2 linked regions of the Mytilus edulis genome follow. The main gene of each other region encodes a partner of the protein of the gene in region 2 in a complex. Links are inferred from orthologs where the notes say so. Each region holds a gene or a part of one and is shown on either strand. Other genes may lie near its edges. The genes, in order: huntingtin-interacting protein K-like and N-alpha-acetyltransferase 50-like.

Region 1 (17,449 bases), on a different chromosome or scaffold from region 2:
CAGATCTGTAACTGTGTCAGATTCCAGATCTACAGTGAGAAAACCTGCACAACACAAGAAACAGTCTGCCACAAAACCCAAATGCTTGGACGAGTTCTTTGAAACACATCATAAAAAATGCTACACCCAGAAGGGCCTTCTAGAAGGGATCATTTATAAGCATTTTTGTTTTGTGGCAATTGTTTTCTTGTTTGTTGTGCAGGTTTTCTCACTGTAGATCTGGAATCTGACACAGTCACAGATCTGTTCTCATTTTAATTTTTGAGCTGTTTTTGTTCGATTCTAAGTCCTTATTCAACCCAACTTCTTTTTTATCTTTCTTCCTTTTTTTCTACTGTTTCTCTGCCACTGCCTTTGTTTTTCTTTATATTGTTTATAAAATTTGGAATTTGAAGTTCTCTAATTTTTGTGCTATTTTCACATTTCCTGACCGGTGTGAGAAAAATATTTCTCCTCACTAGTGAAAAATCTGTTCTCGGCAAATGATTAGTCGAAATTTGATTATGACGTCTAAATGTTTTGTTTTCTTCTGAATTTTCCTATTGTGACGTCATGAAAAAAGGCGACCATGCCTGATGACGTCGCATATAAAGAACACAAGTTTTTGAAAATCTTTGAAAAAGAAGGATAAAAATCATTAGAGAAACAGATTCCTATACTATAACTCGTGTATTACGATATTTCGTAATACCGTAATACACTTGTTGCAGTGTAGGAATCTATATTTCTTCTTTCTTTAAGCTTTTTTTTGTTAGCTTGGTTTTATAGGTTTTTATTTTAAGATGGTCCAACTTCCGCTGATCAATTTTTAATTTCAGATTCAGCCAGTATTTGCGAGTTCTCTCATTCGAAGTCTCTTTCTTTGAATCATTTCTTCTAGAAAATTTTGCCCTGCTTATTTCAGCAAATCTGGTAGATGTTTTAAGGAATGGAAGGTTTACCAAAAGTTTCTTCATTTTACTAGCTGTCTTTCAATTATCTGTCCTAAAAATAAAGCTAATTTTCATATTTTTCTTAAATTGTTAAATTCATGTCAGGAGTGTGACGAATAACATCTGAATGGTTAATCCTTGAAACATCTTTAAATATACCATTTTAAATCAAAATAATTGTTCTATTTTGTACAAAATTCATTTCCTCACTTTCCTATATGATTTTATAGTTGTACACACTTATTTCCTTTGATAAATTTGCATTACTCAGTGCACAAAAAATAGAAAAATGACTAATTAAAACTGATTGTGCCAAAACAATCATGATAAATAACACATTTAAGAGGTAAATGATATGAATATTACTTGGTTTTAACATTTCTTACACAAAGAAACTTGTGGAACTTGTTCTTGTGAAATTATGAATTGACAGAAAATGCCTTAAAAATATGTCACACTCCTGACATATATAATGCACTCCCACATCTATGATATAAACATATCACAGTGGTAATGATTTTTTTTCTTCTCTTTGGAATAGCCACTTCTGAAAAATAAAAAAAATAAAACATTTAAGTCCTTTGTATTCTTTGGTAGATGTTTAAAGACAGTTGTCACACTCCTGACATTTTGGGGTGCCTCTCTTTGTGTTTTTTTAAATGGTCCTAAAAAGAAAGTCCTGTTCTATGGGTAAAGATATCAGAAATTGAAATTAATGATATAGCAATGTGTTTAGTGATTTTTTGTGAAAGTTTAAAGCATTTTTCAATCTTTATAAAATATGTCAGGAGTGTGACAAAATACTGAAAATAGAAGGCTTTTTCTACATACAATTACATTAAAACGGTACAATGAAATGACATTTTGTTTTTTGCAAATGATCACAAAATCTCAGGGCTTTCAAAGTTTACTATTGTAACTGAAATATATTAAGATTCTTTTTATTGGCAAAAACTTCAATCACTAGTTACTATTATTTTTTTCAAATTAAGCTATTCAATTTGATTGTTATTATATGATTTAGCAGAAAAGATGTAAATTTTGGTTTTAAAATTTTCCTTTTTATATTGACTTTCATTTGGAAAAGGTCTGAGCAATGTTTTCTTGACTGTTTTATTACCAAACTTGTTTTTAAGTAGTATGGTTTCTGTTAAATATTTTTGAGATGTATGCTATTAAAATTTAAGATTATTCAATGTGTCTGTTTCGTTCGGCCTGAAACTTTGGAATTATAAAATTTAAAGTATTGGTAATAGGGCAAGACAAAAAGAAATACAAAATATTAAGTTTGAAATTGGACCCCCCATGTCACACTTTTGCTTCATTTTTTCTGATTCCACCCATATGTTATCACTGTCTTCTTTTAAGCTCACCTGGCCCGAAGGGCCAAGTGAGCTTTTCTCATCACTTGGCGTCCGGCGTCCGGCGTCGTCGTCGTCCGTCGTTAACTTTTACAAAAATCTTCTCCTCTGAAACTACTGGGCTAATTTCAACCAAACTTGGTTACAATCATCATTGGGGTATCTAGTTTAAAAATTGTGTCCGGTGACCCGGCCAACCAACCAAGATGGCCACCATGGCTAAAAATAGAACATAGGGGTAAAATGCAGTTTTTGGTTTATAACTCACAAAACCAAAGCATCTAGAGCAAATCTGACATGGGGTAAAACTGTTTATCAGGTCAAGATCTATCTACCCTGAAATTTTCAGATGAATCTGACAACCCGTTGTTGGGTTGCTGCCCCTGAATTGGTAATTTTAAGGAAATTTTGCTGTTTTTGGTTATTATCTTGTATATTATTATAGATAGAGATAAACTGTAAACAGCCATTATGTTCAGCAAAGTAAGATTTACAAATAAGTCAACATGAACGAAATGGTCAGTTGACCCCCTAAGGAGTTATTGTCCTTTATAGTCAATTTTCAACAATTTTTATAAAATTTGTAAATTTTTACTAACATTTTCCACTGAAACTACTGGGCCAAGTTCATTATAGATAGAGATAATTGTAAGCAGCAAGGATGTTCAGTAAAGTAAGATGTACAAACACATCACCATCACCAAAATACAATTTTGTCATGAATCCATCTGCTTCCTTTGTTTAATAGTCACATAGACCAAGGTGAGCGACACAGGCTCTTTAGAGCCTCTAGTTTTTCTTGTTAAATTTTAGCCTCCAATAATGACATGTATGACTGATTTACTATACTGCATTATAATTAAATGTCCAGATGAATTGAAAACTCACCAGTGTGGTGAGTCACCACACTGTTCTCTCTCTCTCTCTCTCTCTCCCTCTCTGGTCACTGGTGTTCAGACTGCCTTTTTCTCCATCTTATATTTGTATATTTAAAGAAAAATGCTTCCTTCTCTCTCTCTCTCTCTCTCTCTCTCCCTATCTGGTCACTGGTGTTCAGCCTGCCTTTTTCTCCATCTTATATTTGTATATTTAAAGAAAAATGCTTCCTTCTCTCTCTCTCTCTCCCTCTCTGGTCACTGGTGTTCAGCCTGCCTTTTTCTCCATCTTATATTTGTATATTTAAAGAAAAATGCTTCCTTCTCTCTCTCTCTCTCTCTCTCTCTCTCTCTCTCTCTCTCTCTCTCCCTCTCTGGTCACTGGTGTTCAGCCTGCCTTTTTCTCCATCTTATATTTGTATATTTAAAGAAAAATGCTTCCTTCTCTCTCTCTCTCTCTCTCTCTCTCTGCCTCTCTGGTCACTGGTGTTCAGCCTGCCTTTTTCTCCATCTTATATTTGTATATTTAAAGAAAAATGCTTCCTTCTCTCTCTCTCTCTCTCTCTCCCTCTCTGGTCACTGGTGTTCAGCCTGCCTTTTTCTCCATCTTATATTTGTATATTTAAAGAAAAATGCTTCCTTCTCTCTCTCTCCCTCTCCCTATCTGGTCACTGGTGTTCAGACTGCCTTTTTCTCCATCTTATATTTGTATATTTAAAGAAAAAAGTGCTTCCTTCTCTCTCTCACTCTCTTATTTTCAAAAAAAAATGTATCGATAGAAAGATGTATATCATGTATATGGACTAGATAATATCAATAGGTTTATATATTTCATAATGGCAGATTTTACAGTATTGTGTTCTGTCTCCTACTTTCATGTTGCTAACGTGACAGAGACAAAAATGAGTAACGTTAGCGACATTTGGACATGTCACATGAGCAACAACATCTTTAAAAGTTAAAATGTATGCACACAGTGATGTTTAATATATGCCTGGAGTAATAAAATTGTACAGTCTGGTTTAGAATTTCTAAATATACAGAATGTCATTTGCAGGTGTACTTTATATCAAATGAATACACAAGAAACCAAAAAATGAGTAACGTTAGCGACATTTGGACATGTCACATGAGCAACAACATCTTTAAAAGTTAAAATGTATGCACACAGTGATGTTTAATATACGCCTGGAGTAATAAAATTGTACAGTCTGGTTTAGAATTTCTAAATATACAGAACGTCATTGGCAGGTGTACTTTATATCAAATGAATACACAAGAAACCAATTCGTAATAGTAACATTAGCAACATCTACTATCATGACATTACATTTTGTTGCGAACGTCTTTTTGGTGGACGGAATACATTTAAGGTCCTCTTGTAACGATATTACATACAACTTACCTTCTTTGCTTCCCCATCATGTGAAGGAACTGACTCCAAATCTATTTCTGCAAAGGGCGATATCGTAACTCCTATACAGGAGAGTTACAGATCTAAATATATGTTGCTCACGTGACACTGATTTGGACGGAAACGTCGAGCAGTAACGTTCGCAAAAAATAAAACAGCCAATGATATTGATTCCTCAAGTCCTTTGAACCCCTTACGTCATCCAAATTTAATATGATTGCTATTTTCAATTATTTATAAAACCCGGGATAAAAATAACTACAATGGGCTGTCTGAGAACCATTAAGAAAATTGCGATCGTGACATACCACAATGGACGGAAAAGACGTGACGTTAGCAACAATATTATTAAATTACCTTTTTTAGCCTTTACCAATAAAAATCTGCCTTAAAGTTATGATTAAAACACAAAAGAAGACTTTTTATTAAAATAGAAGTCCATGTTATTAGGCTCCACTTATAAATAATACTTCAAAATTCCACTCCAAATAAGCTGGATGTCAGTAAAGTAGGTCATGATGTCTATTCCATGTCCAATATTTTGAAATTGAAAATCCTCTAATTCTAACAAAAAACACAAACACAGAGTAATTTTTATTTTTATTTACTCAGAAAGACACATTTTATTCAATACCATAATGCATTACTCCATTACACAGTCTGTTTCACAGTTTCAGCAATTGCTTTTTTGATGGATACAAAAAAACAATATTTCCTTCTTATTGTAAAATCTGCCTAATGCTATCAAATGTGTGTATATTTTTTTTAAATTGGAAGTACATGTAATAAAAAAAATATTTTTTTAAAATTACACCCATCATCATGATCATATCGAAAGTCATATATAATTTTTTTTTATAATTTTAGTTCATTTTTATGTTTTGCAGTTTAGTATGACATCCATTTTTATTGTCACTAGTACACATTTTTGTTTAGGGACCAGCTGATGCCTGCCTCCCAATGTAGGATTTTCTTGCTGTGTTGAAGACCCATTGGCGACCTTGGGCTATTTTCAGATCTTTGGTCAGGTTGTTGTCTCTTTGACACATTCCCCATTTTCATTCTAAATTATATATACATATACATGTATTTATCTTACCTCTTGTCCATTACTACAAATATAATTGGTTAAAAGCGTCTGTGTATATTCCATATTAGGTAGTAGGGAGGCGGGGCTTATTTCAATACACGATTAGAAGTGGAGTTACAATTTTTGCACTATTTAATCATACACGTTATATAAATGTATTGAAAGTTCTGTTTAATATTGTTATATCACGGTTGTTGATATTAAATTTTTATTGTTGACTTTAGTTTTTTTGTGCAGATCAATTGAAGAAGGTTCTTAAAATTGAACATTTAACACTTTAATATAAAAATAAAAAAATGTGGCAGGTATGATTGCAAATGAGACAACTCTAGTCTAAATTCAACAAATAAAGATAGTCTGTAAGATAAATTTGTTACATAGTGTGCTAGTGACAAAATACAATAAATACGGCATCAGTAAATTCAATACGAAGCTCGAACCCCATATGGAATTTACTGACCATGTATATATAGTATTAGGTCACTAACACACTTTGTAACTAATAATATCGTTTTAGTGGTTAATATATGTAATATATGTCTATTGACATATGTGTGTTTATCTGTATGGCACGTTTATATGTATTTACAATTTTTATTTATTTAAAGAGTTTACTCCCTTAAGTGTTCTGTGTCCTTTCAGAACTTAAGTTTTACTTACAATTAGATCCACATCCTCTTTACTTATTTTTATCTTTGACAATTCTTTCTCTCTTGCAATGAATTCTGCTCTTTCTTTGGTCTTTTTCTCTGTTAATTTGTTCATAGCCTGAAATAAAAAATAAATAAATATGAGCTTATTAATATAATCTTATTTCATTAGGGTTGCAATTTCAGCACAATATCTTCAACCTTAACAAAAGTTTTTTTTATTCAACAACTACATGAACTAGTCAAGTATTCATTATTCAGTCGTTAGGGGACTAAAATTAAAATCCTTCCACCCACCCAATATAGTTCAATAATCTGTATGAAAATCTACCAATTATTTTGAGTTGGTCTTAGTTTATGAAAATATAGTTTTATTTTATGAGGAGGGTAGGAGGGGTCCTGATCCCGAAATCCCGGGCTTAAAAACCCAAAATACCAAGGTCCTAAATTTAAATAAATTTGAATCCCAACATTCCGAAATTCGAAAAAAAAAATTCCCGAATCACGAAAGGGTCAATCCTGAAATTCAGAGCTTAAAAACACCCGATCCTGTAGTCCCGATAAAGGTCCTATCCCCCTTCTTTTATTATGATAAAAATTTCAAATGGGCCCCTGAAAATAAAAAAAATTAAGGGTCCAGCTGGCCCCTAGAGGAAATCAGTTAAGTTTAGTCCATGATTCATATATTGTAATCTTGCGAAATCCAGACCCATAAACACATGGCAAAATCATAAGCATGATAAACCACTCATTTATTCCTCAGTTATCACTAATTATTTATATACCTCCATATAGAAAGGTATCAGGTCCGTTCGCGCCCAATATAGTTTCGCACCCTACACGTTCGCAACTCACATTTTCGCCCCCGAAACATAATCCGACTTAAAGCAAGGACTTTTTTTTTATAAACTTGTCATGACACAAAAAAACTTGTCAGAATCTCGAATTATTTAAAAACATGGCATATATATTTATACCAATACACCTCCAAAAAATCGGTAAAATTAGGTGCAAACATGTGGGGTGCGAACGAACTTTTCCGCAAAATTTAGGTGCGAACATGTGGGGTGCGAAAGTGAATGGGTGTGAATGTGGAAGGGTGCGAACGTGATTGGGCGCGAACAGACCCGGATTCATATAGAAAGAATCCCCCCCTTTTGTGGACTTGTAGTTGCACATATTTATATGATTCAATGTTCAGCCAGTTTTTTATTAACGGATGAAGCCAGGTGCCCAGTGAAAACCACGGACTTGGAAAGTGAAACTGACTACCCATGTAAATTAACATTTGAGTCAAGTGCACCAGCATGAGCTTGGTTTCGAATCCGGGTCCGTCCGCCCTGATTTTTGTTCGCCCTAGTAACTGTTCGCCCTAGTTCCGTTTCGCCCTGAGACCGTTCGCCCTGATACCTGTTCGCCCTGGGTATGTTCGCCCTGATTTATATTTTTTATTATAGTGTTGTGTTGTGTGTATTTAATTGAATATGTTCAAGTCAGTCTACAAATTTCAGGATAAACAAGGAGAAAAACATATGCTACATGTAAAGTGTAGCAAGGCACTTGTTTTAGTGGTGTATTCCTTCGAAGGTCTTGAAATTACATATTGAATGATTATTAACTTTTTTTTTCATTCACGATGAACATGACAACCGGCGAATAACTAACATTTACTGTATTCTGAAGTCTTCATTGTAAATGAACAGTATTTGGTTGATTTTTTTTATATATAAACTGACATTATGTATTAACTAACAGACATATTTCTCTGGAATTAGTGATTCCTTTAAATATTTTAAATTCCCTGCTTGTGAAAACGTACTATGAATTTAAAATAGCGAGAATAAAACTTGTGAACCACATGTCTTATAAATTATTTTCTGTGCACTATAATGTATAAATGTAAATGCATATTTTGTTTTGTTTAGTACCAAAGTCAATGGACATAGTCGTAGGGGAACATGTCAACACTTATAAATGAGGGTTTGAATGCTTAGAATGTGATTATCAAATATTTAGTTTTTAATCATTGTCGCCCATAATTTGATTTTCCTTTATTTTATAATTTAGCACCATTTTAAATCCATATTCTTTCAAATTTAAATTAATTTCAGAGCCGATAAAACCTCACCCAGGCCCTCATATATACAATGTACTAGAAATTATTCTGACACAAAATTAACTAATTGACCTAATTCAATAGTAAAGTGATTTAATCAGGAGACTCGTGAGTTGCATCCTCATCTATTCTACTCACTGTTTTCGCTTGCAATGGGGTAGGACAAAATAAATCTGTTGTCGATTTCCTTTTACTCTGACAAACTTTAATTACAGAAAACTACCGTAAAGGGTATTTCCAAGTAGAGGAGGGAAAATTAATTCAAATGTTCCCATAAGTCTTTAATAATTCGTAAAGGGTATGAATCAATAACCGCGCCAACAAGACATATCAAGTTGCTACATTATTGTTTAGTAGCCAGTTTGCTGCAATGATCATTTAAAAGAAAATACAGTGAAGGAAAAAAAAAATTTTCTTTTTTTTTTACTGAGGCAGTTGCCTCGGTTGCCTCAACGTAAGCTATGCCCCTGTTATTAATAGATAAACATAAATTTTTATATATATAAATATACATTTCTTTTATTAATGTAACATTTACATATCATTAATGAGAATAGGGCGAACGAACTCAGGGCGAACGGATTACCAGGGCGAACATGTAATCAGGGCGAACGATCCCGATACCCTTGGTTTCGAACTCACAACCTCAGTGTTGACTGGATAGTCGCCGAGTCGGGGGTGTTCACTGCATATGAATCTTATATGAATTAGGGGGGGGGGGGGGGGGGGGGGGGGGGGGTAATTCAACTCAACGTTGTCACAATACTTTTTTCAGTTTTGAAATTCGGTTCTGCCATTTGTTTAAAGAATGCACCCACTTACATCACCAATGCTTTGTGCAGAGATTTCCGTTTCCTCGACAAAATCAGTGACTTTTTCTAAATCTGCCGCCCCTGAATCGTGTTTCTTTGATTTGTCCTTCTTACTGTCATCTTCTTGATCAGGCTCCTCTACTTGTTCTTCTTCAGTTGTCATGTTTTTAACTGGAAATCAATCCTCTCAGTGCAAAAATAATTTGTGATTTTCTTTTGGTATTTTCACGTGTGTTGTTTTGTAAGAACGATAACTCTGCAGAAAATATCTGAATACCGAATTAAAATACTGTCTAAAAACGGACAGAATTAGAAATTTATTTTATTTATTTTCCTTGATATTTTCGAATGTTTTTGTATCAAGCTTAACTTATTTCTGTTTTCTGTGAACGATATAATCACTTCTGAGGTGTAGATACGACCTTTATCGGGACTCTTGGATCGTACACCACTTCCGGAAAATAAAAAGGTAAACATTAACAAATCGCATACTAACTTGCTTTAGTTCTGCTTTACTTTTCATGTACTAATATTGCTCATTTGTCAAGTTCATTGTCCTCGTGGGTAGCAACACGAGTCCAGTATAACAAATCATTATTTACTAACGCTTATATTCAAATTTATGTCTCACCTTCTATGTTCGAGCACATCATATTAATAAACAGTTATAAACATTTTACCAATAAAAATGTCGTTATTTAGTACAGTACTCACACTGATAACAATTTATTGTGTGTGTCATGAAGTAGATCATAAGTTTGTGTCATTAGAAAATGGCAAAACTACAGGTAGTTCACCATTTATCAAATCTTACCCAAAAGACATTGAAGATCATAATGCTTTGTTATTTGTTCCAAAAATCAACATTACAGAGAACAAATTTGTATCCATGTATTTCTGGCTATACCACTCAAGAAAAATACACTGCTGCAATAAAGCATTACATTCAACTTTGAAAAACCACCACTTGTTGCTAAAAATTCTGTTAAGTGGCCAAATTGAACTCAACCCAGGCCCTAGAATGCCACGCTGGCCATGCGGTTCATGTGGAAAAAATGTCACTTGGAAATGTAAAGCTCTAGAGTGCGACTCTTGTAAGACTTGGTACCATGTAGACTGCCAAGGAGGTATGCAAACAACAATGTATAACATAATGGACAACAGTAACCTGTCCTGGAACTGTATTAAATGTGGACTCCCAAACTTTAGTAGTTCATTTTTCAACCAAACTGATATATCATCATCAGTCACAAACAATTCTTTTTCATTGTTAAGCGATATTGGTAGTCCTGGACAGCCACATGCTTGTTCATCACCAATATCACAAAAGGACATCAGAAAACAAAACAAAAAAGGTATAAATACCCAAAATAAGTTACTCAGACCTTTAAAAATAGTAAATATTAACTTCCAGTCTATTAAGAACAAAAAACCAGAAGTAGATATTTTGATTGATACCACACAGCCTGATATTATAATTGGTACTGAAACCTGGTTAGACTCAAAAACATCATCTTATGAATATTTTCCAAAAGATCATTACACAGTATTTAGAAAAGATAGACCACCAAATAAAAAAGGACAATGTCATGGAGGTGTACTCATAGCTATATCAAATAATTATTTATGTACAGAAATCAAAGAACTAGACACAGGATGTGAAATGATATGGGTAGAATTATCGATATCAAATGCACGTAAATGTTATATATGTGCTTATTATCGACCCCAGCCAGATGATGATACATCTTTAGATTTACTAAATGAATCCATAAGTAGAATAAATGTAAACTCAAAGTCAGCCATAATTATTGGTGGGGACTTTAATTTAGGAAACATCAATTGGGAAACAACAAGTGTCATCCCTGGAAAACCAAACCAAAAACAACATCAACAATTTTTAGATATGATAAATGACCATTCATTAGCACAAGTTGTAAACATACCAACTCGAAATGATAAAATTTTAGATCTTGTGTTAACAAATTATCCAGCCATCATTGAAAAAACTGAAACCATACCACCACTAGGTGAGGCAGACCATGATATTGTATATTTAGAATGTTTACTATCACTAAAAAGATGCCAAACCAAGCCACGAAAAGTATATAAATATAAAAATGCTAACTGGCAAAAAATAAAAGAGGATATAGACGGCATATATCAAAAGATCATACATAAAAAAGATAGTGAAGATACAAACACACTTTGGTTAATATTCAAAAACTCATTACAAAACACTATCACTGAGAACATACCACAGAAAATGATGAGAAATAGTAAAAATTTACCTTGGATAACAGACAGTATTAGACGGCAAATGAAAAAGTACAAGAAAAAGTATCAAAAGTACAAATTAAAAGGCAAAGGGAAACTAGACCAACTTAAAAAATTAAAACATGATATACAAAAACAACAAAGAACATCTTATTGGAATTATATTGAAAATATGATATGTGGGATACCAGTTGATGAAAACCCTACTACTATATCAAAGAGTTTCCCAAAAAATCTGTTCAGTTACATAAAAACACAAAAGTCTGAAAGCTCTAACATACCACCACTCCGAAAAGAGGGCTCACTAACATCTGACTCAAAAGCAAAAGCTAATATTTTAAATGAACAGTTCAAAAAAGCATTTACACCTGTAACAGATGACCCAATACCAGACAAGGGCGTCAGTAAACATCCGCAGATGCCTGATATTAAGATACAAAAACAAGGCATTGAAAAACTCCTAAATAATATCAACATCAACAAAGCTGCTGGGCCTGATCTCATCCATGGTAAAATTTTAAAAGAGTGTAAATCATCTATCTCTCCCATCTTATCAATCATATTTCAAACATCACTGAACTCTGGAAAGATCCCAGATGACTGGCGTCACGCAAGTGTATGTCCAGCATTCAAAAAAGGTGACAAACACGATCCTATAAACTATCGTCCAATATCATTGACTTGCATCTGCTGCAAACTATTAGAACATGTTGTAGCTAGTAGCATTATGAAACATCTGGAAAAAAATAAAATACTATATGACTTACAACATGGTTTTCGATCCTCCCGCTCCTGTGAAACTCAGCTAATATCATTTATTCAAGATCTTGCAAATTCAAATAATAAAAACATCCAAATAGACATCATAATAATGGATTTTGCAAAAGCATTTGATAAAGTTTCACACCACCACCTCATGTATAAAATTGGTTTCTATGGTATAAATTGTAATGCATATTATTGGATTCAAGATTTCTTAACAAACAGAACACAAACAGTAGTCCTTGAAGGTGAAACACCAAATAAAATTCCTGTAACATCTGGGGTACCCCAAGGCACAGTGCTTGGTCCAATTTTATTTTTAATCTTCATCAATGATTTGGCAGAATATATTGAACACAGTACATTAAGATTGTTTGCAGATGACAGCATTATTTATAGGGAAATTAAAAAACCAGATGACACACTTAAATTACAGTCTGACTTAGAAGCGGCCGGCAGGTGGGAGCAGGACTGGCTCATGCATTTCCACCCTGACAAGTGCAACATTCTCAGTGTAACTCAGAAACGCAAACCTTTAGACTTTACCTATAAATTACACAATCACTCTTTAGAAAAAGTTGACTCTACAAAATATTTAGGCCTAACTCTTCAATCAAACTTAAAATGGGACAAACATATAGATAACATGACATCAAAAGCAAACCAGTCCCTTGGATTTATTCGTAGAAACCTAAAAATAGCATCACCGAAAGTTAAAGCTCATGCATATAAAGCTCTTGTCCGACCAAAATTAGAGTACTGCTCAACAATTTGGGACCCACATCAAAAACAACAAAATTTACAAATTGAAAAAGTTCAGAGAAGAGCAGCACGCTTCTCATGCAACCGCTTCCATAACACCAGCTCAGTTACTGAAATGATGACAGACCTAAATTGGTACCCACTCGAAATTAGGCGTTTACGATACAGACTTGTTTTCTTTTACAAAATTATTCATGAAATTGTTGCAGTTCCTACACATAATCTTTTGATCCCACTTGACAATAGAACCAGACATAGCAATCCACACTCATTTAGGCAAATACAAACATCTAAAGACAGTTATAAATATTCATTTTATCCACGAACAGTTATAAATTGGAATCATCTGCCACAACAAATAGTATCATGCAGTACGGTAGAGGGATTCAAGAGTATGATCTCAGAATCTGCTCTAATCCCCATATTCTATCCCTAACTATTCTGTTATCAAATGTATATAGTTTTATCACAACTTATTTTTTCAAATGTACATACGTTATGTTGATTTTTTGATTTTGTTATTTTTGATTTTTTGTTGCTAAATTAGTGTAAATTATAAATCTTATAGTCGACGCCCGGCGAATAATCTTCAATAATTGAAGGATCGCTAGAAACCAAAAGAAGAAGAAGGGTGTTTAAGCTCGGGATTGACCCTTTCGTGATTCGGAAATATTTTTTTTTACTGACGGGATTTTAAATTTATTCAAATTCGAGACCTTGGGATTTCGTATTTGTAAGCCCGGAGTCATTAAGATCAATTAAGGCCGTGACAATCTAGTTCATTTAATAGGTAAGTCAAATATTTGAATAATGAAAAATTCAATCATTTTATAAATCTTTGTGCAGTCTTTTAGATTTCTTCGGATAAATCCCAATGTTTTATTTCCTTTGCCTACAATACTGACTGGCAATGTGTCTATCCCAAGATAGGTTGTTGCTGATTGTTACGCCTAGCTATTTGCTTGCATCAACATTGTCTAGTGTATGTCCGTGGATTTTATATGATGTATCTCTCACTTCTTTGTTCTTCTGAGCTATTCTTATAACTATGCATTTTTTGGCGTTAAAACTCATAAATTTGCCATTTATTATCCCATTCTTCCAATGATGTTAAGTCTTTTTGTAAAAGGTCGCTGTCTGCCTGGTTGTTTACTGTTCTAAAGAGTAGGCTATCGTCTGCAAATAGTTTTGTTTCAGATGATGTTGATGTTTCTGGCATGTTATTTATGTAGGTCAGAAACAATCATGACACTATGATAGCGGTCCAATAACTGCGCCTTGGGGGACGCCTGAAAGTACCGGAACTTGAGAAGAGACAGCTCCTTCTAATATTACACTCTGCATTCTGTTTTCAAGGAATGATTAAATCCATTTTCTAGCTTTAGGGTTTACTCCATAAAATTCTAGCTTATGTAAAAGGCGGTGGTGTGGTACTTTGTCGAATGCCTTTGCAAAGTCAAGAAGGATGATGTCGACTTGGGATCCTTCTTCCAGTTTTTTAGCAATGTCATTGATTGTTATTATAAGTTGCGATTCGCAATATCGTTTTTTGCGGAATCCATGCAATGCGTTGGTAAGTATCTTGTATTTGTCAAAATGGTCCATAATACTGCTGTGGACTATGTGTTCCAAGACCTTAGATGTGATGGAGGTTAATGATACTGGTCTATAGTTGGAAGCTAAATGTCTTTCATCTTTCTTGAATAGAGGTACCACGTTAGCGTCTCTCCAATCTTGTTGGACTTCTCCGGTGCTAAGGGATGTTTGGTACAGATCTGTAAAGAAAAGGAGCGAGTTGGTCTGCTGCTGTTTTCAGGATGAATGATGGAATTGAGTCTGGACTAGTAGCTTTGTGTGGTTTAAGGTTTTTGAGTAGTTTGTGTACTCCCTTAGTGCTGATTTTGATGTCATCCATGGTGGAATATGGGCCTTTTCCTTTGTTGGGAAAGTTATTTAGTTTTTCCTTTGTGAATACTGACTGGAATTGATCATTGAGTATCTCAGCTTTGCTTTTATTGTCACTTTGCAGAAATCCCAATTTATTCTTCAGTGGTGCTACACCTGTCCATTCTTGACCTTTGCTCTTTATATATGACCAGAATTTCTTCGAGTTGTCTTTATAATTGGGGCTTTATACTTCTTCCATATAATTTTTGTTGGCATGTCTGACTTCCCATTGTGTTGCCTGTTTGGGTCTCTTATATCTATCCATGTCTCTTTTCTTTTTCGTTTTCCTGTCCTTCTTATGGGCTTTATTTTTTATTTATCTTCCTTCTGATGTTGGTGTTTATCCATGGATGTGTGTGTTTTCATTGGCTCATTTTTGTTGGAACTCTCTTATCTATTGTGTTTTGGATTGCTTTTTTGAATGCTTGCCACATGGTTTCAACATTTCTGTCTACAGCATCTATCAAATGACCAAAGCAGATTAATAAACAAACAAAAAACAATGTGTTTAAATATATACCATTGAAAGTTCCTTTTTTATAAAGGACATGATGTAACTTCATTTTGTCTGTTATTGTCATGACTTTTGTAACAATTTTGTTCGATATAACAGCTGTCAATCGACCATGGACGGAAAAAAAAATCCCAATTAACCTCGAGTGGTGAATTATTTATATCCACTCTTTCTGAATTAAAATCATATATGAAACTTTCACAGGATTTATTATCAGATATATATATGATGTCAAATAAAAAGGGACCACTTCTTCATTTTGAACATATCTGGTTAATACCTGCTCCATAGTGCTAAATATGCGTATCATGCACGACTAACTACGGTAAGCTAATTGTAAAAAAAGTACTGCTATCTATAGAATCGACAAAGAAAGTTAATTCAACGATAGCACGTTATGTGGATCTTTTCTCTACCAGCATACACAAGAGTGCACACGCTGAAATGTCTCGCCTTCTATACTAATCATTGATATTATGTTGATAGTCCTAAGTATAAAGCTTTATTACAACTGTCCAGTGGCGGATCCAGAAATTTTCATAAGTGGGGGCCCACTGACTGACCTAAGAGGGGGCCCGCTCCAGTCACGTTTCAATGATTCCCTATATAAGCAACCAAATTTTTTCCCAAAAAGGGGGGGCCCGGGCCCCCTGGCCCCCCCTAAATCCGCCTCTGCTGTCACATAAACTTAACATTAACCAAGATAACTAAACAAAGACCAATGAACCTTGAAAATGAGGTCAAGGTCAGATGAACCATGCCAGGCAGACATGTACAGCTAACAATGCTTCTATACAACATAATTATATAGTTGAACTATTACCGTTATAGTTTAAGAAAATAAACCAAAACATAAAAACTTAACACTGTCAATGAATCGTGAAAATGAGGTCAAGGTCAAATAAAACCTGCGCGGCTGACATAAAGATCATAAAATATTTCCATACACGAAATATAATTGACCTATGGCATATAGTATTAGATAAAAAGACCAAAACTCAAAAACTTAACTTCGACCACTGAACCATGAAAATGAGGTCAAGGTCACATGACATCTGCCCGCTAGACATGTACACCTTACAATAATTCCATACAACAAATAATATATAGTAGACCTTTTGCAAATAGTATGAGAAAAACAGACCAAAACACAAACATTTAACTATAACCACTGAACCATGAAATTGAGGTCAAGGTCAGATGACACCTGCCAGTTGGACATGTACACCTTACAGTCCTTCCATACACCGAATATACTAGCCCTATTGCTAATAGTATCTGAGATATGGACTTGACCACCAAAACTTAACCTTGTTCACTGATTCATGAAATGAGGTCGAGGTCAAGTGAAAACTGTCTGACAGACATGAGGACCTTGCAAGGTATGCACATATCAAATGTCCTTGACCTCATTTTCATGGTTCAGTGGCCACTTGAAAAAAAAAGATCAGATTTTTTGGGATGTTGAATTCTCTCTTATTATAAGTAATAGGATAACTATATTTGATATGACAACAAATGGAAGTTTTTTTTCAAGGTCGTTAAAAACTTCCATTTGTTGTCATATCAAATATAGTTATCCTATTACTTATAATAAGAGAGAATTCCACATCACAAAAAATCTGATCGTTTTTTCAAGTGGCCACTGAACCATGAAAATGAGGTCAAGGACATTGGACATGTGACTGACGGAAACTCGTAACATGAGTCATCTATATACAAAGTATGAAGCATCCAGGTCTTCCACCTTCTAAAATATAAAGCTTTTAAGAAGTTGGCTAACGCCGCCGCCGCCAGATCACTATCCCTATGTCGAGCTTTCCGCAACAAAAGTTGTAGGCTCCACAAAAACGGTCATAAACATAAACTGTAGACCTGTATCAAATTCTGAAAGAGACAATTTGATGGAAAGCAACATTGTTGATTAAATTAAAATA
Region 2 (17,379 bases):
ACTATAGCACATCCTTGATAAAATTGAGAATGGAAATGGGGAATGTGTTAGAGAAACAACAACCCGACCAAAGAGTAGAAAACAGCACAAGGCAAAATAAAATGAGTCTCCAACACAGTGAGAAATCCTGCACCAGTAGGCGGGTTGAAGGTGACTCCAAAGTGACCAAGTTAAATGGTCTTTTCTGAACAAAAAAGTGTACTAGTTCCTATAAAATGAATGTCACAATAAACTCTGAAACATATAAATGAACCAAAATTAATATTAAAAAAAATTACAAGACTATGACAGAAGTTTATTTCTGTCTCCGATTAATAATCAATCCACACGTTAATCTGTTAATAGGAATGACCACTTCTGACCAAGCTAAAATCCTGGTCAGTCCCAAAATAAAAACAATTAAGATGATATAGAATGTTTGATAAGTTACAATAACCAGGAGAACCTGAATATAGTTTTCAAAAACTGAATGAAGTTGTGAAAAATGTGGCCTGCTAGTCTTAGGCTTCTGAAGTGTAAGTATTGGCCAAAGGCTTTTTCTATATCAGCTCAGAGTTCTTGGGACTTGGAGATGGAAAAGGCGTTTAATACATTGGTTTATTGATTTTCAATTTTTCAATTCCTTTTCATAAAAGCATGTAAGCTATGAGTCGTATGATTACACGGAGATGCAACAATATATTATTAGGGCCCCCTCCATAAAAAATAATGGTCGCGCTCTATAGTTAGTCTAAACATATTTATTTATAGTGAATTGGGAAACAGGTTTTGCAACTTATATAAATTCCTTTCCACTTTGCAGGTGTGAGTACTGCCATGTAGCAGCATTAGCCTGCTCTTGTCTTTAACGTGCAAGAGATATGGCTCTCTCTTAAACACGGGTCAGTCATTTATCGTCCCCTTCCGACAGACTATCATTGTTTCCTCAAGACCATGCTCGCAAATAGTGTCAAGGGACAGCCGAACATTCAGTCCCTGAAATTTTCATCCCGGAACGGAAATCAAACCAGGAACCTTTATGTTAGTAGTTCAATGCACTAACCACTACACCATGCCATATAGTTCCTATAGTTAATGATAATTTTATTTGCAAATACACCCATATGGGTCAAGTAAACACAAATATAAACATATACATAACACAGAAAGTGAAGAACTACAAATGTAAACATAAAAACATAGTTATAATGGAATTGTAACCTTTGATGGATATGGACCTCATTTTTTTTAAATTCTAAAGATTGCTTTATACATTTAAAGTCACCAACTTCTGTCAATAGCTCAGATTCAGGATTTAAAAGATGTTTAAGCTTTAAAATTGGTTGTAATCACTCTGTCCATCTGTCTGTCTCACTTTCCTACATCACATGATTACCCAAGTTTGCTGTTTTCTGAAACTTGATCAGCTTTATCAAAGATTCCTTAAGAGCTTGGGATTTCTGCGACTTTCTACAGTGGTTCTGAACACATTGAATGTGTACATTTCCCCCTTTTCATAGCTTTAGCTTTGATTTTAGAAAAAAGGGTTGATTGAAGTTGGTGTTAACTGTTATCAGCATTTAAAATTTGTTAACATTTTAACGGACCCCCTATTGTCCCCCCCCCCCCTTTTGATAGTTTTCAAGAAAGCATCTAAACTTGCATTTGTAATTTACAGGGAGTCAATTGATGATTTTGAACTTTCTGTAACCTCTAGAATATCTTTATAGACCTTAAAAAGTATGGGCTTTGCTCATTGTTTAAGACATTGCAGTGACCTACAGTCATGGCAGTGGTTTATTTCTGTGTCATTGATCCCCATTGTTTAAAAAAAATTAATCAACGTGCAGTTTGTTTGATCTCAGTACTTCATCATGTTCATTAGTTTAAATCTGATTATGACATTGAATTTTCTTGCTTTCCTCTGAATTTACTATTGTGACAGCATGAAAAGAGGCGACCATGCCTGATTATGTCACACTAAAAGAACACAACTTTTTGCAGATTATTTGAAAAGAAGGAATTAGTTTGCCTGCATATTGTTAGAAAATCATTAGAGAAACAGATTCCACCACCAATTCTCTTTGTAATACGATATTTATCCACTCTCGACAGTTAAATTTTAAATATTTAAACATGTTAAAACACTTGACAAGCCTTACATTTAAAATTTGAAAATTTAACTGTCTTGAGTGGATGAATATTGTATCACACTCGATGCAGTGGTAGAATCTATATATACATGTATCATTGTTATTCTACTGTTATAAACATACCAAGTTTTGCTAGCTCTCCAACTTCTAATACATCTTTATAGAACTTATCATTGTAAGTCACAGGGAACACCACTTGATTCAACAACTTTAGCTGCTTGATGTTATGAGGAGTTATGTCCCCTAGTTCTGTATGACCTCTGAAAAGAATAGACATAATCAACTTATATAACCTCAGCTGCATCATACATGTATCATAAAAAGTCACATACATGTACCAGTGCTCTAGCTAGAAATCAAAAGGGGCAGGGTGCCAGTGGAGGGCAGGGCACTTTTTATGATAAGAAAAGGCACTGCTCATTTTTTTGTCTACATTTCTGTGTGTATCACGAGTTAACGAATCTCTTTTTTTTTTTTACTGTATATGTTGTTTTTTTTAAATAAAGATGCTTTTCAACTATAGTCTTTATTTCATTGTTTGTGTAGTTATGAATGATATATTACATCCATGACATCTTCATCAACATATTATGTTTTTACAGTTTAACTTCACTCTACCCATTATCAAAGAATATGTGGGTTTTTTTTTCTTTATAGGAATTATAGCTTTTAATGCATCATATGATCTGTAACAACAAATGGAAGTTTTTAACGACCTTGACTGGCTATACAGCCCTTGCACGGTCTGTATGATCTGTAACTGAGAGCATTACTAATTTAACAATGTTTAGAACATGGATTGCTAAAAGTATAATTATCAAGTAGAAATTGCAATATATATTTTTTAATATGTTCAAAGACAGTTAATATCTTTAAGGTAACATTATTATGTTATTATATATTCAATTGGTAATTTATTCCTATTTTTGATACTAGATAATATTTTAAGAGCACAAATTTGTAATAAGCTAAAACAGGGGAAGTAACTCCAAAATCAATTTCCACCACGTTTGGGTTAACTAAAAACTGTGCTTGTCGCTAACAAGTTGAGATGGAAGGCATTTCTGTAAAGGCATAGTTTTATTTTGCTGACTTAAATTCAATTCTAAAGTCAGGAAAGTCTTCACTTATATATGCTCTTCCATTGTGACTTGGAGATCGAAAATGCCGACCCAAGCTAAACACACTCGCTGACACATTCATCAAAAGTATGACAAAAAGATACATTGTCCTAATTAAATTACCTAGTTATTAACACCTTTGAAGTCTTTATCATTGTAATTGAGTGTAATGACATGATTAACCTGGGGGCAATCACACAGGTGTCATATATGTAATTAACTTGGAGATCAGAAATCGATGAAACAAAATTTTACCAAAACGGCACAAGATAATTTTGGAAAAAGACGTCAGGGCAGAAGGGCACGGATGAAGGCACCCAGGGCACGGCGCCCTTCTATTTTGGGCTAGCGAGACCACTGATGTACTATCTTTCTTAGATGACCAGGGAAATGGTGCTGAATTCAATTTAACAGGTTTTTCCAATTTGTCTAGTTGTCCCCAACCTGTTTAATGATTTTGTAAATTGTATTATCACATATTTGTTACAAATACATTGTATGTTGGGTTTTGCATATATACAGTGATATTGTTGTCTTTTTTCAAACCTACCTTTTTTTTGGGGGGGGGGGGGGGGGGGAGAAGTGCATCGTTTTTTGGGGAAATTGGGAAATTTTTAGACATATTTAACCGGAAAGAACATTTGGGGGAGGGGAAAGAAACAAATACAATGACAGTATTTAATACATTGAAACCATGCATGTTACAAACATCCCGATGATTCAAATCAGAATCCCTGATCTCAAAAACGTTTTCATTATATCAAAATAATAACATGAATACGAAATTTACATATCATTACTACCGATGCCATCACTGTTTGGGAAAAATGTACAACTTATTGGGAGGAATTTTAAGCCATTTTATTTTGTAATTGGGAATTTCTCTAGGGGAAAAAGCGAATATCGGGGGTAATTTGAGGCTAACAATATCACTGATATAATAACCTCAAAATTGCTGAGGGCAAAAAAAGAGTATATTGGTTATTGTGCCCTGATTCCAAATGACATAACGTCATTGCATCCTTAACGACTTTTTAATTGCTTCTGTGATAAAAAAAAAAAAAAAAAGAAGATTTACCTGTTGTTTCATTAAATTGTTATAATTAATATTTTTTTCTCTTTTCTGCAAAACTTAAATATGTGATTTATATTATAACATGTCTTTTCCATATTGGCCCTGGTCAGTGTTCTTCCCAAGATTTTTGGATAGCGCTGTGGTAAGTGCGTAATTTTCGACAATTCTCAGTAACTTTGTCACGGCGCGCTGTTTGTTTGTAATTGATTTGTTATTTGTTTTTCTTATATTATGCCATTGATTTTTTTTCTCTTGTAATGATGTCCTCATCATGCTCATTGAAGTTACCCCTTTGTTTGTTAATATAGAAGAAGAGTTTTTTTTCTCCATTGTAAATTCATATAATCCTCATATTATCTGTGCATAAATCCCAAGGAGAAGTCTTTTTCCATGATGGGTCTATACCAGACTGCCTATGTGAAGATTTCTAAGCACTAACAGGTGATGTTGCAGAACATGTCGGACCAACAATACAGTCATTGTCAGCCTCTTGTGTTTGGTTTTGAAACCCACTGTAGCAGTGACTCCAGTTTTCTGACAAGTACTGTCAACCTTACGACGTTTGACCTGTTGACAGGAATTGACATTTTTTAACATCATGATTTCTCATTTTTCTGACCTAAACGTTTTATTCAAATGGCTTCATCCAAGCTGGATCTCGAGAAAGTATCAGCTTAGGGTTTGTTTTTCTGATCGTTTTCAAATGGTAAAATTCATTAATGTAGAATCGTGAATGAACAATTATTAGTTCGAATAGGTGATAATTAATACTTCAAAAGACTTGTTCATTTTTGGGGTTCGTATGGATAGTAAGCCTGGCAAATTGTAACAAACCCCTGTGTTTGATCGTTTTTAAAATCATCGTTTGTTCAAAGTTTGTAAAACAAGTTTATGAGTGTCGTGGGGAAATGCGGTCAATTTATATCATCTCATTTCATGCATATATCATGCATAAATGCCTCTGTATATTCTTTAAATAAAAACAATAGATGTCATTGATGAAATCTTGGTTTATTTTGATCTGTCAAATACGCCATTTTGTAAATTTATTTGACTATTCCCGCTGAGTTACTTAATACAGCGGATATAATTCACTCAGAAATAGTAAACCAGTCGACACGTGATCCGAAGTGAAAAATAAGCGGGAATTTTGAAAAAATTACAAAAAAATATATAGTGTTGCGCTTGCTTTGGATAGCGCTGCGGTCTTTGCAATAGAACAGCAGGAATTGTGATAGCGCTGAAAATCGCGGTGCTAAAACGACCAGGGGAGAACACTGCCCTGGTATCATCCCTCGACCCATATCGGCCCTCGGCTAAAGCCTGGAGACTGATATGGGGTAATACCAGGGCCAATATGGAAAAGGGCATGTTATAATCTATACTTATTCCAACATTTGACAGATTTACTGTGAAAAATACGGGAAAACATCATTAAAACAGAGCTGTTGCTTGGAAACATGCATAGCATTTCCCATACTTTCATACTATTTCCACCTCTTTCTAAAAAATCTGCCCCCTAATGGCCTATCCAATATGGCTGAACTAACTGTGAAGAGCCCTATTAGAAATTATTAAGCGATAGTGTATTTTACACACGTCTTCATTCATTTATGAGGGTGGTAAAGGTTATTTTCGTGCAAGGTGTTTTGCCATTTCACATGCAGCCATGAATAAGGTACGTTATTCACCGTGTTTTCGTGAAATTGGTAATAAGATCAATGTACAAGCCATTTTTTTAATTATTCGTTCATCGTGAAATAGCAATTTTATATCGCATTCTTCCTTGCAGATACCCCCCTCCACTATTACCGGACAATTAAGTCCGATACAAATTATTTGGTTGTGTCAAATCCGGTCAAAATATATGTTCCTGGTAAGTTGTACTACAGTCTACAGGCACCTGTTTCTATCCACGGGAAGGTGGATTTATATAAATATATAGATAGTCGATCTTTCCATTGATGGAAACAAGTGCCTATGAGTAGAATAATAAAATAAAACAGGCCTGGGCTAGATAAAAAGGGGGTTACGAATGATATTGATCCAACAATCGATTTCAGTGCACACTTGGTGTACAATTGGCAGCAATAATAAATACACTACTCAAAGTAAAGATCACAAATATGCACCTTGTCATTGTAAACACTTGATTAACATCAACTAACTGCTCACATGTGTTCCCGCTCCAAAACCGGAAATAAACAAAAATTGTTTTGAATCGGTCCCTTAATTGGGTAAAATTAAATGCTGTTTTGATTGGAATAAACACAAGTACAATAAAAACAAGTACGTTATAAGCCAGAAAACTTTCCGGTTTGTTAAAAGAGCGTCAGTATTCCATGACTTTTCATTTGTAAAAACGTTATCCACGATGTTCCTACAACACGACGTTACACTAAAAATGAGGCGTCAAAGACTTTTTTTTTACTTCGATTAATTTTTGCAAGTTTTATTCCAATTTCGGGTTTTTATATGTTGTTGGTTGATTCTGGTTCTGTTGTTTTTGTGATTTACCTCAAGTTGTGGAAATCGATTTAATAATAATTACAGTACCCTTTAAGTTATTTAACCTAAAAATTCAAAACTGTCACAAGTAATGTAGGAAGGAAAATTGGGACGACTTTAAATGATCTATTTCGGAGTACTTCCGCAACATAAATTGAAATTCGCATTTTACATTTAGAGGACTGTCTTTGTGTCTCCAATTTGTCTTTGCAAAAGTTGAACGATGTTCATGTAATGAGATTTTTTTTCTTCTCTATTCTACCATTCTTTTAAATAAACTTTATAAAAGCGATTAATAAAAATTGCCAAATGTAATCTATTTATGTAATCGAATTTATATGTCCCTGGCCAGAGTCTCTAGCAACATGCACTATTCTTATTTTTCGGCAGCCATAACCATCTTTTTCCAAATTTCACTACACGATTTGTTTTAATTATCATAAACATCAACTGATTGACACTTTAGCACATGTGACGTCGGAAATTAGCGTTTTCCGGATTTTTCGACGTTTTCACACGTTTGGACAAAATGGCTACCGTTTTGTAATGTGTGGAAGCATTTTATACCTTAAAGACCCAGATATGTAGTTGATAAAAAAAGAATCTTGGTATTGTGTACTCTTCGTGTATCTAACTTTTGTTTTGATCAAATGCAGTTTAACTTTTTGGCTTATATCTCAATAACTAAAGCTTTTAGAGCAAATCTGACATGGAATTACATTTTCATTTTCAAGTTAGATAAGTTTGAATGATAAAAATCAGTCGAACACTGAATCTTTTTCCAATAATTCATAGTTTGACGTCGCGAAAATAACAATTTGCGTTTGCAACGTCATCATTACCTCTCCCTGTAACTGGTATGCCCTTAACCCTCTTGCTGCCGACCGTTTTTCAAGGTTGCATTTCATATGCCGGAAAATACGACAGCTCAACGTCTGTGACGTAACATGCCAAACAACCACGTCATTCGATATATGACGTCACGACAAAATGACCACTACATTTGGGACCAATTGGAGAAAAACATGACCCTGTTTATTCTTCTGTATTTTAATTGCCGAAAGAGATACAGCATTGATAAGAAGCTTGCATAAATTTATCCATGGACATATGTGTCCCTCCGGCACTGCCGGTTTGGACATAGGTGTCCCTCCGGCAGCAAATTATTGAAATATGAGTTAAAATATACGCGTTAACTGCTTTGAAAAATGAAATATCAACTTAGACAAAATGGCTAGTTTTGTCAATTTTTATGAAAATGTAAATAGTGCCCCAAAGGGCCCCATGCGAGCTAATGCCATCACTTGGCGTCCGTCGTCTGTGGTCGTCGTCATAAACTATTTAAAAAATGTCCTCCTCTGAACCTACTGTGCCAAATACCTTCAAACTTTAACTAAATTTTCCTTATGGTATCTAGTTTATAAATTGTATCTGAAGTTTTGATCCATCGACAAACATGGCTAACATGGCTAAAATTAAAAACATAGGAGTCAAATGCAGTTTTTGGCTTATATCTCAATAACTAAAGCTTTTAGAGCAAATCTGACATGGAATTACATTTTCATTTTCAAGTTAGATAAGTTTGAATGATAAAAATCAGTCGAAAACTGAATCTTTTTCCAATAATTCATAGTTTGACGTCGCGAAAATAACAATTTGCGTTTGCAACGTCATCATTACCTCTCCCCTGTAACTGGTATGCCCTTAAAAGCCGCCGGGTTCACGGAAACAAATTGACCAAGCAACTTGGCACTTGATGGAAGTGATTAACGACCTTGACTGGCTATACAGCCCTCGCACGGTCGGCTCGGTGCCCAAGGCGTTAGATGAGCGTTTGAATAATTTCTGCAGTGGGTCAGAAACAGGCGGTAGAGGACGCCATTTTGGAAGACCACCATTTTGGTTTTGGTGAGTTCTTTTTGGTTTGTTTACTGCCTTCACAACGGCTGCTTTAAATCGGGGCCTGGTCAGCTTGGCAGCCTGCTAACCTCGATGATGGAGTACTGGTAGATGAGTCTTGGACTTGGTATTAAAGATGACAGGAAGCATTATCAGGACCAAAGCCGTGACTCGGGCAGTGAAATAATGGTCAATCATCTAACACCTAGGATACAGCCCTCGCACGTCAATCGGCATAACACTCCCCCATCTACAATGGGTTTTGGGGTGCATGTTAACGCGGAAATAAACGCCAACAACAACGTTTACTGTACAGCGTTGGATAGGTTTCTGTCATCTATAAAAGTAGTAAGTCGTTGATCATCCAGCACGTCCGTTCAGCTGTAATGACTGAGGCGTGACTGATTCTACTTGGGACGAATTGGTTGATACGAATCGGAGTTGGGACGAATCATCCAGAGACGTTTGTGAGACCAGAGACATATAACGTTGTTGTTGGCGTTTATTTCCGCGTTAACATGCATCATATTGTATTCATCTAAATGTTTGAATAATATGAAATTGTATACTGTACTGTATTTTAATTGTATACTAATTGCTCTGTAACTATATATAACACGTTAAAAATAAAAAAGGGAAAATAAATAATTCCCGTTTTGGTCAAGTTTTGATATTTCCAACTCAATGAGTGCTGAAACATTGTGTATTAGATTTTTTTTCATTTAGAAATGAGTACTAATTTCACGGTCCAACAGGAAATGTAAATACAAAAATTATCATCAATGCAAACAAAATCATCAAGTTATCATTTTATATGTACGAGAGTTGTGATACTCAAATACGATTACTTTAATTTACATCTCCTCTTTATAAGTGTCTTATCTAAAGAGTATTGACGCTCTTTGTCATTTCCGGTTCCTGTATGTCTTGACTTCAAGAGTACTGTCTAGTACTATACGTCACAAGTATAATACCACAGAGTATCGCCACTCTTAGGTTATAGCTCTTTTTGCTAAAGAGTATAAAAAAAATTTGCAAATATATTTTCAAGAGTAGCGATACTCAATTAAGCATTGTCTACCTCCATTCTTAGAATATTCCGGTAAAAAAGTTTTATGGTCCATGAGAAGTAGTATTTTAGAAGCATTTTTTTAACATCTACACTTTAAATAAGTTTATTTTTGACGGAGTATCGATACTCTTTGAAACTGTTTTCTACCTCAAGAGAATCAATATTCTTTTAAACAGGTTACATTGAGTGTGTTGAACATGTTGAGAGTATCGATACTCTTAAAAACGGGTTTCTACTTTGAGAGTATCGACAGTTTTCAACGTTGAGAGTACCAATAATTTTTTAAACAGTTTTCTTCCATGGATGTATCGATACTCTTAAAGCAGCTCCTTTTTTTTTACCTTGAGTGTTTTATACCTTTTTAAACAGTTTTCTACCTTAAGAGTATCGATACTCTTATTAATGGTTTTCTATCTTGAGAGTATCGATACTCATTTAAACAGGTTTCTACTTTGAGAGTATCGATACTCATTTAAAGAGGTTTCTATCTGAGAGTATCGATACTCATTTAAAAAGGTTTCTACCTTGAGAGACTCCTTGAAATTTTTTGTGACCTAGTTCATTCTTGAAGACCGTATGGTGGCCTATAATTGTTAATTTCTGTGTCAATTGGTCTTTTGTAGCGAGATTGGTCTCATTTACAATCATACTACATCATCTGAGCGTTAATGAAGTTGAGCTACTAATTGTTTTCTTCGATCCATAGATTAGAATGGAATACACTAACGAGTCTTAAAACTTAACCAGTTGAACTTTGAAGTACTGCTAAAAAAATGAAAAAAAGGGCAGCTTTATGTATTTGGTTAACAGGAAGTTGATAAGTGATGGATGTATATAAGGCTCACATAAAACACCATTAAAAATTTCGAAGACCTTGATGTGTGATTTCTGGGAAGAATGCAACAAAAAAATTCCTACAGAACCATTATTATTAAGAATTAACCAGTAGTAAGAAAAGTTGAGGAGCATTGAAATTTTTAAGTGCATGACAGTGTATAAATTGATGAAATGCGGCTTGATATCACATTTTTAAAATTAATTGAGAGAAGTTTCTGAAATAAATGAAACTCATGTTCTCCTCCATTCGGAACAGGGGAATACAAACATATAACAAAAGTTAATAAATATATACACATTTTGTTTATTAACATTTTATATGGATTTTGACAGCAAAAGTATCATCTTTTTCCAGTCTTCCTCTTTTTTATGTCCTTTTGCTTGAGAACTCTCTCTACTCCATCAAGTCCAAATTTAACAAAGTATCCTGTAAAAAATATATACCTTAGAGTTATGATATTATTATATAAGTTATTTAGATTCTTTTAATTGATAACGTTACTAAATCAAAGAAAATTTCATTCTATAATATACGATATTGGACTTTAACGGCTATGCAGGTGAAAAAAGTGTTTATATAATTTTCAACCTTAAACGAATACCGTTTGTATTCTAATTTCTAAATATTTTTTTTTACTTAGAATATCGATCAAAGGTAAATTGATACTGTTGGTGATGTATTGTTTGTTGTCTAGAGCTAAAAGTTGGTTGTATTGAAGACAACACCCACCTTTACTCCTTTTTTCTATGATATCAGCTTCATACCACTTCTGGTCCTGCTTCCAAAAGCATAAAATCTTTTCTCCGTTCTTGTACTCCGTGTTTTCCTAATAAAACAACACAAAATGAACATAGTTAATTGCCAGGCAACTGACTTCTATGTAAAAGGTATTACTTGGTTTTTTCTTTCATAAAATAAACCCCAAAATGTCTATAAAATATATGAACCAAGTATTTTTATAACATAAAACGTATTAATTATAAGAAAAAGTTTTGGGTATCCAATATTCTGCACAGTCAGCGTGAGATTATAAAAAAGCCTAACGGCATAATGAGAGAACTGATATTTATCAACCAAATATATAGTTTAATAGACTAAACAAGAAGTAATTCATTGTAATCTTTAAATTTTACAGAGTATACCCAGTAAACACACGACGTACTCCCGACGTCGGTTAATGGTCGTCTGAACGTCATGTCGTGAGTTTACGTCGTACCAACGTTGTGGGAACGTAAAAATCCAACGTTGGATGCAGACGTACAGACGACGTTATAAAATTACGTCGGCTTCACGTAAACTTAGTACCTTGTCAGGACGTAACATTTTATTACGTTGTGACAACGTGCTTATAACTGTCATAATCCGACGTAACATTTTGTTACGTTTTGTTACGTCGTATCGACATTATAAGAACGTAGTGAATACATTGTAAAAATCTGGTTTTATGGGACGAATTTTTGGGGTATGTCATAATGAGTATTCCTGGATGTATCGATCATTCACCTTAACTAGAAGATATTTACGATTTTTTCGATTTAAAAAAAAAAAACTCCCCCTTTTTTCCCCGCAGACATAATTTGCATCAAGATGTCAAAGAAAATATTACAAATCCAATTTTAATGTTCTAATATATGTATTTTATATGAATATTTATTGTTTAATATATCATTAAAATTTTGTCATCATTTATCACTTGGATTTCATAATCGTTTTTCACGATTTGATTAGTGTAACGTTCAGCAGTACTCGGGTTTTACCGCAGCATACTGTATGTATGTACTGGTAAATGCCTCCGATATCCGAAGAACCCCTCGAAAGCTGCGAGTGTACAGTGGCATCCATGTACACTCCCTAACGGGATTAATGGAGATGTGTCACTAACGTATATTTATACGACAATTATTTTTACAAGGACAACCAATCCCCACCCAATTCAACACAAAGGGAGTGCTAGGACACCGGGAAGTCTGTTATTGTGGTGGAGGAAGCCGAAGTACTCGGAGAGAACCACCGGGCCACTCGGTGGAAACAGACAAACCAGAGAGATATCAGAAGATTGATCTCCAGGTCAAAGTAGGGACACTTTGACCAACCGAGGCCCCCAACGTACCCATTCTAGTTTAAACTCCGGTCTGGGTACCAGAGATGTGTGTGAGAGGGTGAAAATTACCCTTCTAATGTACTGAGATTTTTTAGCACCCCGAGTGAGAATCGAAATCGAGAATTGAAAACAGTGAGGAATTTGCAGTGGAAATTTAGCTTAATCCAGATTCCAGAACAAAGAAAAAGGTAAAATAATGATTGCACATTACACCAAATAGGTTCTCCATGATAAAAACAAGTTTGATTGATGAAAATAACAGCTGTTACCGTGTTGGGCGCCTCTTTCAAGTCTGTTATACGTGACCGTGTTGAAATATGATACTTTTTCTTATACTGTCAATATATTGCACTGATACAAGATATTTTAGCCATAATGTGTGTTATTTGAATCTATTTATCAAATTGCTTGATTAACTTGTGTTGTTTCTGAAGATATATGCAATTAAAAATAAGTAATAACTGTAGAAAGTAAAAAAAAAGGGGGAGGGGTGCACAGCCACAAGTACTTGTTTTCTATCTGTGACAAGAGCTACTATCCCTATATATTAAGGCTACAAGTGTCTTTTGCTCTGTTATTTTTTGATAATCATTGAAGCATAAAAGTCTTATCCATGTTATCAATACACCTTATCGCTAATCCCGGCTGACCCGGCCGCTTGAACTTTTGACGTCAACAACAATCACTTTTCCATTGTGACGTCAGATATTTTGTTTTATGACGTCAAAATTTTACGGGAACCTGTGTGATTTCCAGCAATGTCGGACAAATAGCGATAAGGTGTATATCAGAAAATGTGAAGCTAAACATCTCAGCACTTTAGATATCTGGGTCCATTACAAACTCCGCACATTTCAAACTTGGCATATTACAAACTCGACCTATTAATGATAATGCTGCATATATCACTGGGGGTCGTTGCTAACATGCATGAAATATTTGCCACTGGATTTTGAGCAACAAACAATCAACCATTGTATCATTGGGTCTGACATGGAACAGTGGAAATAGACAATTGTGCCAATAAACTGATAAAGATGTTGTAAAATATAGGCGTCACAGAAAAAAAATTAAGATAGCCATCACAGTTGTCGTAATAGGATTAGGTCGTTGTAGGAAGACGTCCCAGAAAAAAATAAAAAAACAACCTTCCAAGTCTTGAAAGTGTCATAATGATTTAGACTAGGATCTAGCCTTGAAAGTTGGGTAAAATTTTCTTGTTTTCAGGGTAAAACCCAAGGTGTTAAAAACAGTACATAGGGACATCTTTTTTGCTGTACAATTTATAGTATGAAATCTGCATGTTTATCAATGACGAGCTACATGTACAATCACTAAATATGTGATCAGAAACAATGTAATCAATCATAAAACATATGAATTTTGGAATGCATTTAAATTTGTCACTTTGTTCTCCTAAAGATTTGTTGGACTAACATTTTTTTTTATATAAATAAGGCAGTGAATTTTCTCGTTTGAATTGTTTCACATTGTGATTTCGGGCCTTTCATAGCTGGCTATGCGGTATGGGCTTTGCTCATTGTTGAACGCCGTACGGTTACCTATAAATGTTAATTTCTGTGTCATTTTGGTCTCTTGTAAAGAGTTGTCTCATTGGCAATCATACCACATCTTCTTTTTTATATGAAACAGACAGAAGAATATAAAAGATAATTGAACGTATTTTTAATTTTTTTTTCAGAGTCTTGTACATGTATATAAATCCACAGATCCAATGTGTCTGAGGTTGAGGAAAACCATTGCAGTAACCATGTAACGGTTAAGCATGCACCAGCTCAAAAATTTGGACCAAGATTTTAAAAAGGTAAACATCAGTTGATCAGCTCTTTTTCTGTCCTCCTTAACTGAGTGATATAGTTTAACTTTTGTACTGTACGTACATACATGTACATTGAACTCAAAATTGGATTTTGTTATCTAACGTTTGCCTAAACCACATGTTATGCAACCAATACACAACGCTTATCATAAAACGCAGAGTTTGAATTTGGAGAGCATCTGCTTTACTGTTCTCTAGATATGTCCTTTAAATTAAGTTTGATAAGATCATTTGTGGCTCATGGACACATTCTTCTTATATTAATTTTATTTATCAAATTATAATTTGTTCATTTTATAGATTGCGTTCATTGGCATATGCTATGAGGTCTTGTTGTATCGATGTACATGCTAAATTTATTAAGGTAGAATCCTTTGCATATCTTAAATAAATTAATTGAAAAATGACAATATTGTGAAACCAAACTTCCTTTATTAATTATTTGGACTCATTATTAATTGTAGAATAACCACTGGTTGCTCCAGAAAATATTATGTCCCCTCTCCCCCAGGGAAAGCTCTTTTCTTAAATTTTATTTGGGGGTGGTTGTTATTCAATGTAAATATGTATAATATTATTAATTTTGTGTTTTTGTAATAACTCTACCAGCAGTTCAGTATGTGATGATATTGGTAAAACAAACCTTGCTCAACCTTGAATTGGTTTTCAAGCTTACGAAAATTAATTAATAATGTATTTATAACTGTCGAACTAACAGGCGACCAAAATAACATATATTTTTAACTGTGCTGTAAACATAGTGAATATGCGCTAAAAGTAGTTTTACGATATGTTTTAATATAGTTTTATCAATATTTTTTTTCGGTATGAAAAACATGCTAGGAGAGACATTAGAGCTTAAAAAACTAGTTATATGTTATCAATATATAAAACCAATAGAATTTGTGTGTTTTCGATGCAAAATTAAATATCACCGAGCGTTTTGCGTCAATACCCGTAAAAATTAAGATTTTCACAAAAATACGAGAATTTTTCATTTTAAACACTTTCTTTTTAAATTTTATTTCAGAAACAAAAATTAGAATGACTAGAGTTAATCAAATGATATATTTCATATTATATTGCAGATGAATTTGTTTTTAAACTGCATTTTTCGAACAATATCGTCACATTATGACCTATAATTTTCCCCCCTTTTTGCCATTTTTAGAAAAATGTGACCATTTCCCAATTTGACGACCAGGCAATTCTGAATGTACGATAAAACACCTTTCAAATGATACATCATATAGCCGTGTGTTAGGTTGGTGCATTAAAAACCTCCGAATCCTTGTTTTGGCGCTCGCCTAATTTGGTTCTGCTTTGAAAAGAATTAGAGCTGAGTCTATGTACCATATTATATAAAAAGTTAAGTGGTTGTTAGGACCTAGTCCTTAATTGAGATCCTTGTCAGATATTCCTGGCCATATGTTTTTTGTCATATTAAGAATTGTTTTAATTTAATATGTTCGTACGGAAAACAAGGAACATTATTCTCATACAAAAAATTCTAAATACACATTCATAAAAAAAATGGAATTTATTACAAAGGATAATCATAAGATATACTTGAATTGTCCTGGACCTCACCTCTGTGATGGGTATATGTTAATGGGAGGGGCGGATCCAGGATTTTTGAAAGAGGGGGCGTAGTTTTTAAAGATTGCCGAGCGGAGCGAGAAGAAATTTTTTTTGGGCACTTTTTAGGACTAAAAACATAAAATAAGTGAAATATGCACTTTTTAAACGGTTACTGGCATGGGGCATGCATATTTTGTAGTTGCTGTTAAGGTGTAAGGGTGGGACATTTTCGATGCTTTATTCTCCCTATTAATTGTCTATCATAAAATGATAGTATGGATCCAAAGCTATGTACTGATACATTTAATGTGGGATTTGTCAGTAATACATAGACATGGAAAACGTATGTTTTAAGTTTAGTTAGAATAACCTCACACATTTCTTGTTGTAAACAAGATATACGCTGGGCTATTTGATTGAATTTGAAATACGACCGACACGAGTTAAAAAAGACAAACAAGCAATTTTTATCAAAATGTTTGGTTGATATATATGTTTCACCAACAACATTAAGGGAAGTAAAGGGTTCCAAATCAATCAAAGGCTAAGAATGAGTCTGAAATGACAACGAATTTATGAATGACGGCCGACAAATGGAGAAATAAAGGCCACACTCAGCAGGCAGGTTGCAGTTTGGTCTTGAAAAAAGTATTTCATATATAGCAGTTCGGCGAAACAGACATTCCGGTCAGACATAAAAACCCCTGCCACAAAAAAAATATGCCCGCTTTCATCATGTTCATTTAATGCTAAATAATTCTGTTGGGAATTTTCTTTTCTAATAGCAAAAAAGTGGACAAGATTTTTGTTTTACGTCCAGAAGTTTTGTTTAAGGCAAAAATCAGAGTCAATTTTTTTTCTCTCAAATATCTAAGACTGTCTCCTCAAATCAAATGGTTCGTACTTACGACTTTAAATCTATATAGAGCTTATTCTGACTGGGGATAATTATTCAGCTATATTATTTAAAAAAAAAGGCTGGGGCGTTTGGGGTTAAACATGTTTCCGTAGTTATGTACACTTGCTTTACATTTAATGAAATATTAGAAGCCACTAACGCGGCACTGACCAATATTGATCCAAGTGAGTATGAAATCAAAGTTCCACCAAAGGACAGTATACTTCGCCTATTAAGGCTTATTCCAGAAAACATGAATTTATTTTTAACAATAAACTTTACCGTGAAACCTTGGGCGTGCCGATGGGCGGATC

Evidence for each region.
Region 1: N-alpha-acetyltransferase 50-like (region 2) and huntingtin-interacting protein K-like share a complex: the UniProt entries of both Homo sapiens proteins name them as parts of the N-terminal acetyltransferase E (NatE)/HYPK complex. The link is inferred for Mytilus edulis from reciprocal best matches to the Homo sapiens genes NAA50 and HYPK.

Annotation. Positions count from the first base shown.
Region 1 is NC_092354.1:40,486,532-40,503,980, reverse strand, and holds the start of huntingtin-interacting protein K-like, read right to left. Parts: upstream 9,510-17,449; 5' UTR 9,414-9,509; coding exon 9,261-9,413; intron 6,441-9,260; coding exon 6,333-6,440; intron 1-6,332. UniProt on the Homo sapiens protein: Component of several N-terminal acetyltransferase complexes. Inhibits the N-terminal acetylation activity of the N-terminal acetyltransferase NAA10-NAA15 complex (also called the NatA complex).
Region 2 is NC_092348.1:77,356,255-77,373,633, reverse strand, and holds the start of N-alpha-acetyltransferase 50-like, read right to left. Parts: upstream 6,567-17,379; 5' UTR 6,469-6,566; coding exon 6,461-6,468; intron 2,393-6,460; coding exon 2,256-2,392; intron 1-2,255. UniProt on the Homo sapiens protein: N-alpha-acetyltransferase that acetylates the N-terminus of proteins that retain their initiating methionine. Has a broad substrate specificity: able to acetylate the initiator methionine of most peptides, except for those with a proline in second position.